3 linked regions of the Tamandua tetradactyla genome follow. The protein of the gene in region 1 interacts with the protein of each later gene in a pairwise test. Links are inferred from orthologs where the notes say so. Each region holds a gene or a part of one and is shown on either strand. Other genes may lie near its edges. The genes, in order: tyrosine-protein phosphatase non-receptor type substrate 1-like, CCDC57 and NOL3.

The links.
Region 2: the proteins of tyrosine-protein phosphatase non-receptor type substrate 1-like (region 1) and CCDC57 interact in a two-hybrid assay, tested with the Homo sapiens proteins (2 studies listed by BioGRID). The two-hybrid records come from large-scale screens. The link is inferred for Tamandua tetradactyla from reciprocal best matches to the Homo sapiens genes SIRPA and CCDC57.
Region 3: the proteins of tyrosine-protein phosphatase non-receptor type substrate 1-like (region 1) and NOL3 interact in a two-hybrid assay, tested with the Homo sapiens proteins (2 studies listed by BioGRID and IntAct). The two-hybrid records come from large-scale screens. The link is inferred for Tamandua tetradactyla from reciprocal best matches to the Homo sapiens genes SIRPA and NOL3.

What each region holds. Positions count from the first base shown.
Region 1 is NC_135327.1:23,659,233-23,662,974, reverse strand, and holds the start of tyrosine-protein phosphatase non-receptor type substrate 1-like, read right to left. Parts: upstream 2,503-3,742; 5' UTR 2,258-2,502; intron 1,207-2,257; 5' UTR 1,198-1,206; coding exon 1,119-1,197; intron 1-1,118. UniProt on the Homo sapiens protein: Immunoglobulin-like cell surface receptor for CD47. Acts as docking protein and induces translocation of PTPN6, PTPN11 and other binding partners from the cytosol to the plasma membrane.
Region 2 is NC_135332.1:74,526,666-74,530,407, forward strand, and holds the start of CCDC57 (coiled-coil domain-containing protein 57), read right to left. Parts: upstream 2,679-3,742; 5' UTR 2,623-2,678; coding exon 2,577-2,622; intron 1-2,576. UniProt on the Homo sapiens protein: Pleiotropic regulator of centriole duplication, mitosis, and ciliogenesis. Critical interface between centrosome and microtubule-mediated cellular processes. Centriole duplication protein required for recruitment of CEP63, CEP152, and PLK4 to the centrosome.
Region 3 is NC_135342.1:60,868,733-60,872,430, reverse strand, and holds NOL3 (nucleolar protein 3), read right to left. Parts: upstream 2,602-3,698; 5' UTR 1,674-2,601; intron 1,562-1,673; 5' UTR 1,550-1,561; coding exon 1,255-1,549; intron 1,091-1,254; coding exon 765-1,090; intron 672-764; coding exon 621-671; 3' UTR 521-620; downstream 1-520.

The sequences.
Region 1 (3,742 bases):
GCTCCACCCACTCTTTGCTGGTTCTCCCTTTCTCACTGCTATCAGATGGTTACCAGCCTTTAGGCAAATGCAAAATGGGGGGGGGGGGATGCGCAGCTCATCTCTATCTTCTTCATCAAGGGTTGGGAGGTACAGAGACTCCGCTGCTGCCGACACCACCACCTCAGGAGACCAAAAGACAGAATCCCCAGTCTCCACCCTCGCCAGCCATGCTGTGTCTCTGCCCCTCATGCCCTCCCAGGAGACCCACATTTTTGCCAACCCCCTTTAAGAAGTGGGACTCCTAAATGGTGACCTCACTCCTTGGCTACTGCACACACTAGCCGTCAGAGCCCGCCTGCAGGCGGCAGCCAGGTGTTGATGTAGGCCAATAAAAAGACATGCTTTCAGAGCCACAGGTAACGGTCCCACTGAGCACCTGAGCTGCAGGGAGCTGCCTGGAAGCCAGGGGAAGGCAGGAGGAAGGGGGTAGCCGGGAGAGTGGCACAGAGCACAAGCATCCAGCTAGAGGCAACCACAGGGGCAATGCTCCGTTTTCACATGAGGCTCTGTTGTTCCCAGCACCTCACCCCAGGGTAACCAGTCTCCCTTCCTCCCTCTCCCCCAATAAGCGGTAATGCTGTTTTCCTCTGCGCACCAAGTGGAGCTCTCACACTTTCCTAATTGCAACACCCTGTTACTGTTCCATTCCAGGCAGCATGGGATGACCTCTGCCCCACTCCCTCTCTCAGATCCTGAGTCAAACATGTGGAAAGCATAGTCCAGGGCCTGAGAGCTTTTAGAGCGGCCAGGAGCACCTTGCTCTGAGAGGTGCATACAGCCTGCCTCCTCCATCAGGCTGGACACTGAATCAACTCATCTCCCAATGCCCGGGTGCCCAGCACCCAGCCGGCACACCCAGAGTTAAGACAGACTGCAAGCGAGAACCCGAGTTCTCTCCTGGGCTGTGTGACCTTGGGCAAGTCGAAGGCCCTCTCTGGGCTCAGTTTCCGCACCTGTAACCCAGATTATAGGTATCTCCTCCCCTCCACATTTGCCTAGTAGCTCCGAGCCGCGGTCTGAGAGGCCTGAGCCTGCAATGTGGGGAGGACAGCGGGGCTGGAGCGGGGAATGCTTACCTGGCCAGGCGCAGGACGTGGCGAGAAGCAGGCAGAGCAGCAGCCCGAGGCGGCCGGGGACCGGGCCGGCGGGCTCCATGGGCCGCGGCTGCGGAGCGAGGAGGGAGAGCGGCGGTGAGTGCGCGTTCGGGCGGGCGCGGGCTAGAAGCGGGGAAATGACTAAGGCTCCCCCACTACTCTCCACCCCCCACTCCCCTCCCCTCCTGGCCGGGCTGCACCCCTCCCCTCCCCAGAACGGGCTCCTGGAGCGGCTTAGGAACCGCCGTCGCAGCCGCGATTTTCGGACACCCCCCTCCCTCCCCCAGGAGAGATCAAGAGACGGAAAAGGAGAGAGACCCCAAGCGCGCGAGAAATAAAGCCAGCGACGGCCAGGGAGAGGCGGCAGGAGAGAGAAACAGACCCAAGGGAGCCAGGGAGAGAGCCAGAGACACAGAGAGGAGAGGGAGAGAGAGAGAGAGAGAGAGAGAGGGAGAGAGAGAGAGAGAGAGTGAGAGAGAGAGGGAGAGAGAGAGGAGTGAGCGAGGCAGCGCGCGGATCCAGACAGAGCGCGGGAGAGAGGAGAAACGCGAGGCAGGGGCGCGGGGCAGGCACCGCCGAGCCGCCCCCGCCGCTGCCCACCTGCCCCGCCCGGGCTCCTCCGCGGCGCCGGCGGCTCGGCTCGCTCTCGGCCCGCAGTCCCGGCCGCTGCCCCCGCCCCCGCCCCCGCCGACAGCTCGGCCCCCTCCCTCCGGCCCTTCCCCCCTCTTCCCTCCTTCCCGCCCGAGGAGGCTGCGGGGCTCCGGCCCGCCGACACAGTCTCCGCGAGCGCCCGCCGGCAGCGCGCCCCGGGGGGCGGGGAGGGAGGGCAGCGTCTCTCCCCCGCTCCGCGGCCGCGCGGGGCCGCAGCACCTCCGGCCGGCCCACGGCCGCAGCCCCGGGAGGCGGCCCCGCGAGCCTCCGCCGCCTGCGCACCCCGCTCGGGCTCGGGACCAGACGAGCCTGCGGCCCCAACAATGTGCCAGTTCAGAAGCCTTCGCGGCTCGTCTCCCCGCCTCCCCTCCCGCCTCCCCCCCCCCCCCCCGCCCCGTCTCCCTGGCACCCTCCCGGTCCCGAACCGTCACCCTCCTTCCTCCATCTCCCTCTCCCTGCCGAGCTCGGACCTGAGCCGCCAGGGAGGGCTGGAAGGCTGTGCAAGCGCCGCCGGGGGCTGCCCAGAGGCCGGGAGGGCCCCCCGCTCCACTTTGCGCAAACTTGTTTTTCTAAGGTCAGCGCCGCGAGCCGGCTACATCGTCCTCTTAAGGTGGACCGGGGAAGTTGCGGCCGACCTCCCCTGGCCTCGGGACGCTGGTCGTCCCTGCTGCCCGCTGGCCAGACGCTGGAGGTGGCCGAGGAGTGGAGGCTGGGGGGCGGGGACACGCCGACTTTCGCCCTCCCCCAATGGCCCCGCCCCAAGCCGTGTCCCGCAGCTGAAGGGCCCCTCTTGGGGGTGGGTGCAGGCCAGAGGGGCCCCGATTCTTTCAAAGCTGGGACGAGGTAAAGGAAAAAGCAGGAAGTAAGTGAATGTGGGGGGAAGGGGAAGAGGAAGGAGAGAGTGATGGTACAAAAATAGCGTGTGTGTAGGCAGGACTTCAGTACGCCTGGAAAAGAGGCGGAGGGAGGAAGGGGATTGCGAAGGGGGCTGGGGCAGGGAGGTGAGAGGACAAGCGTCCCGGGGCCCTCCCCAGAGGGGCTTCCCTGGGACCTCTTGCCTCTCTGTCAAGGGTGGCAGGTTCAGGGGGTGGGGACGGCTCAGGCAGCCGCAATGTGGGCCGGGAGAGGGCACTGAGGCGGCTCTGGGAAGATGGCAAACAGTGAGGAAGAGGAGGGAAAGGAGGAGACCGGGAGAAGAGACCTGGGTCGGAGAGGAGAGGGCCAGATGGATGAGGAGAGTGGGGTGCCCTGGGCGCCTGGCGGAAGAAGGCTGGGGGCTGTGAGAGGGGAAGGGGTCCAAGACCCTCGGATAATTGGGTTGGAAATAAGCTCAGAAGAAACCACTTTTGCCTCACGTGGCAGTTCAGAGACTCTGAACAAAGAGGGTGAGGGTAGGGGTGAGGTCTAGACTTGAAAACAAGAAGTTGAGGAAGAGAGAGAGAGAGAGAGGAGAGACCTTTCCTAAGGCCACACAGCAAGAGCAGGAGTAGAAGCTAAATTTGAATTCCTGGTTCCCAGGCTAAAAGCTTTTACCAAGTGATATCCTTCCCTACCCCCAGCCCCCACCCCCCATCCCACAGGGGCTTGGCCAAATACTGGGTCCTGCTGTCCTGCTGTCCTGCTCAGAAAGGGGGGGGGGGCAGGCAGGGGGCAGCTATGGACTGTGTGGACCAGACTCCCTGGGTTCAAATCCTGTCGCCACCTCTTAGGAGCTGTAGCATTGGGGAAATAACTTATTTCTGTGCCTCAGTTCCCGTATGTGAAATGGGGCCAACGTGGGTATCCACTTCAGGAGGCTGTTGGGAAGATTCTCTGAATTGATATTTGTAAATCACTTAGCCCAATGTCTAGCCTGCCACAAGTGCTCCAGGTGTTTGATAAATAAATAAAATGTTTGGCTACAATCTTTGGGAACCCGCAGGGTTCTGGGCAACATTGACGTACAAGGGAATTCT
Region 2 (3,742 bases), on another chromosome or scaffold:
GCAGCTTTAAGGCAGGATAAACTTATGAAGCATGTAATAACATGGATGGACCTAGAGAACATTATGCTGAGTGAGTCTAGCCAAAAACTAAAAGACAAATACTGTATGGTCCCAATGATGTGAATCGACACTCGAGAATAAACTTGGAATATGTCATTGGTAACAGAGTTCAGCAGGAGTTAGAAACAGGGTAAGATAATGGGTAATTGGAGCTGATGGGATACAGACTGTGCAATAGGACTAGATACAAAAACTCAAAAATGGACAGCACAATAATACCTAATTGTAAAGTAATCATGTTAAAACACTGAATGAAGCTGCATCCGAGCTATAGGTTTTTGTTTTGTTTTGTTTTGTTTTGTTTTGTTCTTACTATTATTACTTTTATTTTTTTTCTCTATATTAACATTCTGTATCTTTTTCGGTTATATTGCTAGTTCTTCTAAACCGATGCAAATGTACTAAGAAATGATGATCATGCATCTATGTGATGATGTTAAGAATTAGTGATTGCATATGCAGAATGGTATAATTTCTAAAAAAAAAAAAAAAAAAAGGACAGCACAATACTACCTAATTGTAATGTAATTATGTTAAAACACTGAATGAAGCTGCATCTGAGCTATAGTTGTTTTTTTTCTTATATATTTTTGTATTTTTTATTTTTATTTTTTCTCTATATTATCATTTTATTTCTTTTTCTGTTGTCTTGCTATTTTTCTAAATCGATGCATATGTACTAAGAAATGATGATCATACATCTATGTGATGATATTAAGAATTACTGATTGCATATGTAGAATGGAATGATTTCTAAATGTTGTGTTAATTTTTTTTAATTAATAAAAAAATAATAATGCAATCAAGCTGTATAATTAAAAAACTTATACTTATTAATCCCCCCAAATGAAACTTATTAATCTACGTAAATGAAAAGGTGGGGGTTTCCTGAATAAACAAAGTGATCCCTCTTTTAAATGGAAAAAATAAAAAATAAAATAAATAAATAAACAATCATGAAAGAGTATAGCCCATGGAGTAAAAATATATGAGTGCATACTAACATGGAAAAAAAAACTAAATAAATAGATAAGGGAAGGAGAAAGGGAAGTTTTTCCTTACAATAAAATTCCAACTAATAAATGTGGAAGGAATGATGGAAATAGAAAACCACCACTTCGCAAATACCACATTTCAGGCAAGACTCACCTAAGGATGCTAACACCAGTTGTAGAAATGATATTTACAGGTCTCAACGTATCCCTGCAAACAAACACGAGACACTTCTTATTTGCAAGGTTAAAATAGTTACTTTACAATTGAGAAACCTGGCAGACACCACTTTTATCAAGACAGTAAAGGGACAACCCTGCATCACCAGCCTGAAGGATACAACTTCAATTTTGAGGTTTTTCTTTCCAAAAATACAGAACTTTACATTAACCCTGGGGAAACATCAGACAAACTCCATTTGCAAGGCATTCGATAAAATACCTGGCTAGAACCCTTCAAAAACGTCAAGGTCATTGTTAGGTCGGGGGAATACGGGAGGGCTCAATGGCTGGACTCATGAAGTCACTTCGGAACCGGAGGTGAACTGTTACAACAAAGATCTTTACGCAGCAAACATCGGCTCACTCATTGCTCCACGGACATCTGACCGCCCGCTGCTCAGCCCACTAGCATAATACTCCTTAGTTTAATGTGCCGCCCCTTTCATGTCATCACCTAACCCCTGCCCTTAAAAACTGCACTCGCCAAAGCCGTGCGCGGACTCACCTCACTCCAACTTGGGTTCGGTGAGCTCTGCCCGAGAGCGCAGCCAATAAACCACGCTCACTTAAAATCATTTCGTCTACCTTCCTTTCTCTCAAAAACCTCATATCTTAAAACCTTTCAGTCATGAAAGAAAGCCCAAGGAACTGACCCAGATTAAAGAACAACAACAAAAGGAGGCAGCGGAATGGGGTGCAGGATCCCGGACCGTTACTGCACTCTGCCAATGCTGATGTCCGGGTTTGTTTTGGGGAACCTGGTAAAAGGGACAGGCGAGTTCTCTGTACTGTTTTTGCACCTTTAAAAAACCAAACAAACGAAAAAATCAACCCGGGGAGCCGGAGCGCCGAGGTTCGAATCCCTCCTTCCTGGCTGGGGGCCGCGGGGAGGTGTCCCTTCTCGGAGCCCGGCTCATCAGGCCCCAGGCCCAGCCATGGAAGCAGAGCCCGAGAGAGGGGCCTGGCGCCCCGGGAGGGTCGTGCCCGGTCGTCCCGCCTCACCGCGTCAACGCAGGGAGGAGTGCCGGCGGTGCCGCGGGGAGAAAGACGGCGAGGCGCCTCGCGCGGGCCAAGCCCGTCCCAGCAGTTTGAGAACGATCACCCCCATTCGGCGGGTGACGGCAAGTCCTCGGGTTCGGCCCGAGGGGATCAAGCGCTGAGGCGCCAACGCCGGATTTCCACGGAAAGTCACGAGCCGCGAGGACCGGCCGGGGCCGAGAGGGGGGCGGGTCGGCGCCCTGCGCCTCTCCCCACCGCGCCCTCCCAAGTTTCCCGCCCGGGGTCCCGCGACCCGGGTCCTACCCGGAATGCCAGCCCCGAGCGGCTCCCAGCGTCGCCGCGTCGCCATAGCAATCCCGTCGGCCCGCCCAGCCCAGGGCGCGCTCGGTACAGCGCTCGGGTCCCGCCGAGGGGAAACTTAGGTCCGGGCCCCGGGTTCCGGCGCCCTCCCGCGCGCAGGCGCCGACGAGTCCGTGGGGGAGCGGGGCGCAGTCGACCAGGAGGGGGCCTATGGGGAGGGGCCGAACCCAACCCTGCCGGGTTCTTCGGGCCGTGGAACCTCCGACACTTCGCTGCAGGCCCCGGCCTCTCCACCTACCCCTGGGCGAGCCCGGGAAGGAGCTCCGGGGCTCGGGGGCTCGGCCGCCGGGAGAGCCCGGGGGCTACACTCGCTCCCTCCGCCAGGTCCCCCGGCGGCGGCTCTCCTAACCCCAAGGGGAGCTTATGAGCTTTCCGAGCCGGGTGGGGTGCACAAGGACTGCTCATGGGTGGAAGGAGGGCTGCACGCGGGGGGTCCTGGGGGAAGGAGGGCTGCACGGGGCGGGGGTCCTGGGGGAAGGAGGGCTGCACGGGGCGGGGGTCCTGGGGGAAGGAGGGCTGCACACGTGGGGTCCTGAGGAAGGAGGGCTGCACGCGGGGGGGGCCTGGGGGAAGGAGGGCTGCACGGGTGGGGGCCTGGGGAAGGAGGGTTGCACGCGTGGGGTCCTGGGGGAAGGAGGGCTGCACGCGGGGTGTCCTGGGGGAAGGAGAGCTGCACGCGTGGGGTCCTGGGGGAAGGAGGGGTGCACGGGGTGGGGGCCTGGGGAAGGAGGACTGCACGGGGTGGGGGCCTGGGGAAGGAGGACTGCACGGGGCTGCACGCGGGGGGGGGGGGGCCTGGGGGAAGGAGGGCTGCACGGGTGGGGGCCTGGGGAAGGAGGGCTGCACGCGGTGGGGGGCCTGGGGGAAGGAGGGCTGCACGGGTGGGGGCCTGGGGGAAGGAGGGCTGCACGCGGGGGGGACCTGGGGGAAGGAGGGCTGCACACGGGGGCGGCCTGGGGGAAGGAGGGCTGTACCTGGGGCTCCTGGAGGGCGTAAGAGCTGCACCTAAGACGGGGGGCGGGACTGCTCCTGTGAAGGGGCGTTTACCTTGGGGTACCAGGCACTGCGCTAGGGGCGGGTGGCTTCTGTGGCCGGTAGGGGATTGTCTT
Region 3 (3,698 bases), on another chromosome or scaffold:
AGTATGTATAGAGCATTTTCAATGGGCCAGTTCCGGCCAAAACCCTCTCTGAGCTCCCAGTGCAGTGGAAGTCAGACGATTAAAACAGCAATTACAATGAAGTGTTTGGGCTCTGTCTACCCAAGGTCTAATAATCCTGTCTAATACTCGCACTTCCCAAGGCTCTAAGCTCTAGACCCTCCTTAAATGGAGAGAAGTCCCCCTTCCTTTCCTCTCTGCACCAGGCCCAGAGGCTTCCATGAAGGGAGGCTGGAGCCTGCCTACACAGGCCCCTAAATGGCTCAGGAGGGTAAAAGGGCTGTGGAGCGGCAACCAGGGGTCAGTCTTTTGTCCCAGTGCATGCCTGGGGTCTCCAGGGGTGTAGCTTGAGCTACTGAGGGCAGAAATAAAACTGAAGACTGGGTGGCTGGGCCTGGAGGGACATGGAGTGCCCAGGTCACTGGAACTCAAGGCATGGGCTTACCCACCCACCCACCCACCCACCCCACTCCCAATTCCTGGGGAAAGAGCCAGAATCGCGGAGAGCCCAGCCCAGCCGACCGTCTGGGGTTTATTCATTTCCAATCTGCGCCAGACAAAACCTCTGTGGCATCTGTGCAGCCCAGGCTGGGTCTGAGATCCTATCCAGCTTGAGCGGAGAGGGGCCAGTCAGTGCTCCGATTTTCAGGAATCTAGAGGCCATAAAATAAAGGGAGGAAAGTTAAGGAGATGGGGACCCGCCTGCTGCCCCCCAGGCCACTCTGGGTTGGGGCAGCCTTCCTCACACCTTCCGACTCCTCCGCCTCCTCGTAATTCGGCTCCGGCTCCAGTTCAGGCTCTGGCTCCAGTTCAGGCTCTGGTTCTGCCTCCATCTCGGGTTCCGGATCCACTTGGGGTTCCAGCTCCGGCTCAGCCTCTTCGGGGGCTTCGGCTTCCTGCTCTAGCTCGGGGTTCTCGGGGATCCCGGATTGTACCTCCTCGCGGCCCTCAGGACCCCCCACATCGTCGCTGTCTGAAGCTCTAGGCAGCCCGGGCCAAGCAGGTCCCGAGTCGTGTGCCTCAGGCGTCCAGTGGCCCGGGCACCGAGGGTCGTAGCTGCGTTCCCGGTAGCCTGGAAGAGAGGGGGCGCTGTCTTCAGTTTCAATTTACCCGTCCCTGCTTTCCTCCGCCCGCACTCGTCCCTCCTCTCTGGCAAGTGGCTCCCACCAACTCCAATTGGGCTTTTGCTCGGCTCTCCAGGCCCCACCCCGCCCCTGCTCTGCCCAAGGCGCTCACCGGGGCCCACGTGCTGCCAGTCCCAGGCGGGGTCAGGCGCCTGCGCGGTTCGTTGCGCACAGCGCAGGAGCTCCAGGCAGGCCGCCTCGCCCTTTCCCTGCACCACCAGCAGCAGGCGGCGCATCCTGCGTTCAGCATCAGGCAGCGCGTCCAATGCCTCGTACTCGGGCGGGCTGAGCACGCCCCGCGACAGCAGCGCGTCCAGCAGCAGCCCGGAGTCCGCCTGCAGCGTCTCTACCAGGCGTTTCCGCTCGCGGTCGATCGTCTCAGACGGCCGTTCCTGCGTGTTGCCCATTGTCCCGACAGCCTGGCGGAGGGAAAAAGGAGTAGTGGGGCGGTCTTAGTGGGGCAGGGACTTCCCCGCCCCCGTCTTCTCTCCCAGGGCCGCAGTGAACACCCCTGCTGGGGCTGAAGTTCACCTCTACTCCGACCAGACAGCGCTGCAGCACAGGACCTGGAGGCCATCGCGCGGGACTCGTCGTCCTCCTGCTTCGGGGACTCCTTCTTCCCTGTCTCCTCCTCAGGCTCCTGTTCCGGTCCCCTAAACGTCGGCGATAGTCCGCCTCTCCTCTTCTCCCCTAAGCTCTCCCAGGGTGGTATCTACCTTGGGGGTCTTTCCTCCACCTACTTACCAGGCTCTAAGAGGCCTTGTCTAGGAGTCAGGGTTTGGTCCTAGCCCCTGTCCTGTCTGCCAGTTCTTCCTCTCCAGCTCCGTGTCTCAGACCCCTCCTGGCATATCAAAGTGTCAATCTCTCCTCCAGGTCATCAAACAGAAACCAGGATTACCCTCCTGCCCTTCACTCTTCCTTCATGTCCTGTCCGTTACATCCAAGTACTGCTGCTCCAGTCTGAGTTTCCATCAGCTCCCATCAGGGATCCTCATTGTCACCTTATCTTCTATACCAGTCCCTTTAGGCACCTCTCACTCCCATTCCACCACCCCCACAGCACAGTGATTTTGACAGCCCTCTGGAGTAGGATTTATTGTCCCCATTTTACAGATGAGACAAGCTCAGAGAGACCAAGCAGCAGAGCTAGACTCTGATTTGCTCCAGTCTGAACTATAATATAGTCTGTAATGCAGCTCCCTTCCATTCCCCCCCACACCCCCCACCCACCTAGCAGGATGTTAGCCCTAACCACTCCTGTCTCTCACAGCCCCGCTGCCTATCAGAGAGAATCCAGATTATCTGGCCTGGCTGCTCTGACTACTTCCCATACCCTGGTCAGTCAGGTCTGTCCACATTTCCCTCCATCTCTCCCAGCTCTGAGAACTCCCGAAGGCCCTGGTGCTTCTGATCCTTTGCAGATGCTGTACCTAAGCTTGTCCTTCTCCTCCCTCCATTCCATGGCCCCACCCTCTAAGACTCTAATGTTCTGCTGTCTGCCCCAATGCCCGAGTCTCCCAAAGGAAGAATGGTTCCTTTTCCTGCATGCACCAGCGAACAGCATATGCCCTCATCACTGAACTGAGATATGACAGGACCCTCTGTCCTCTTCAGCTGAAAGTTTTCAAAGAAGGCTGCTCCCTTTCACCCCCATCACAGGGTGGGGGCGGGGTGGGGTATGTGGGGAAGAAAGAGGAGGCAGCACCCACCCAGGATAGGCATAGAGGAAGGGGTGCAGATTGCACCTTTTCTCCCTCACTCCTCCCTAGATTGTTTACATGCTAATGTATCCTATTATTCCAGTGAGATAATGTGTCCTATTTGGGAAGCAGAGACCCCGGCTGATCTAGGAACTCCTGAGGCTCTCACTGCTCGTAAGGAAACAACGAGGTTACCTCGCTGCCAATTGGCTGCGGAGCCAGTCCTTAAAGGACCATTGGTCAGATCCTGGAGGTCAGGCGGCCCTAGAAGCAGACAGCCAGCCCCCGACCGACGGCCCCCACTCTAACCTCTCTGCCAGGTCGTGGGAAACTGCGGGAGCCTCTGCACTTTCGCGACCGCAAGGATGCCCTTACCTCCGCGCCACTTCAGGCTCTCGCGGAGGGGCGGGGCGCACACAGACCTCCGAGCGCGGCTGGTGGTGACGGACGCCGATTCTGCCCAAGGTTTCCCTTCCCTCCCCCGGTCCCGTTTGCTCCGGGCGGGCGGCCTCACTCACGGATCGAGCCTCGGCCGGGCAGATGACAGTGCAGAAAGGGCTGGGCCGAGTGGGGGCAGCAGCTGCGGCGGGGGTGGGGCGGCTAGGGCTGCCTGGAATCCCGGGGGTGGAGGGGGCGGGGAGTGGGGGCGTTCTTCCCCGGGCTGGGGGAGCCGGTCCCTCAGAGCCCGCGTGCTGACTGAGGATATTCGCGTAGTTGGTTTTCCCTCCCTGCCCCGTGCATGCCAACAGATGAGTCAATGTGGGGCTGGGGAGAAGGAAGTTCAGCCCGCGCCCACCGGGCCTGGCAATACCTGGGCGCTTTACACCCATCCTCTCGACGCCCCCTCCTCCCTGCC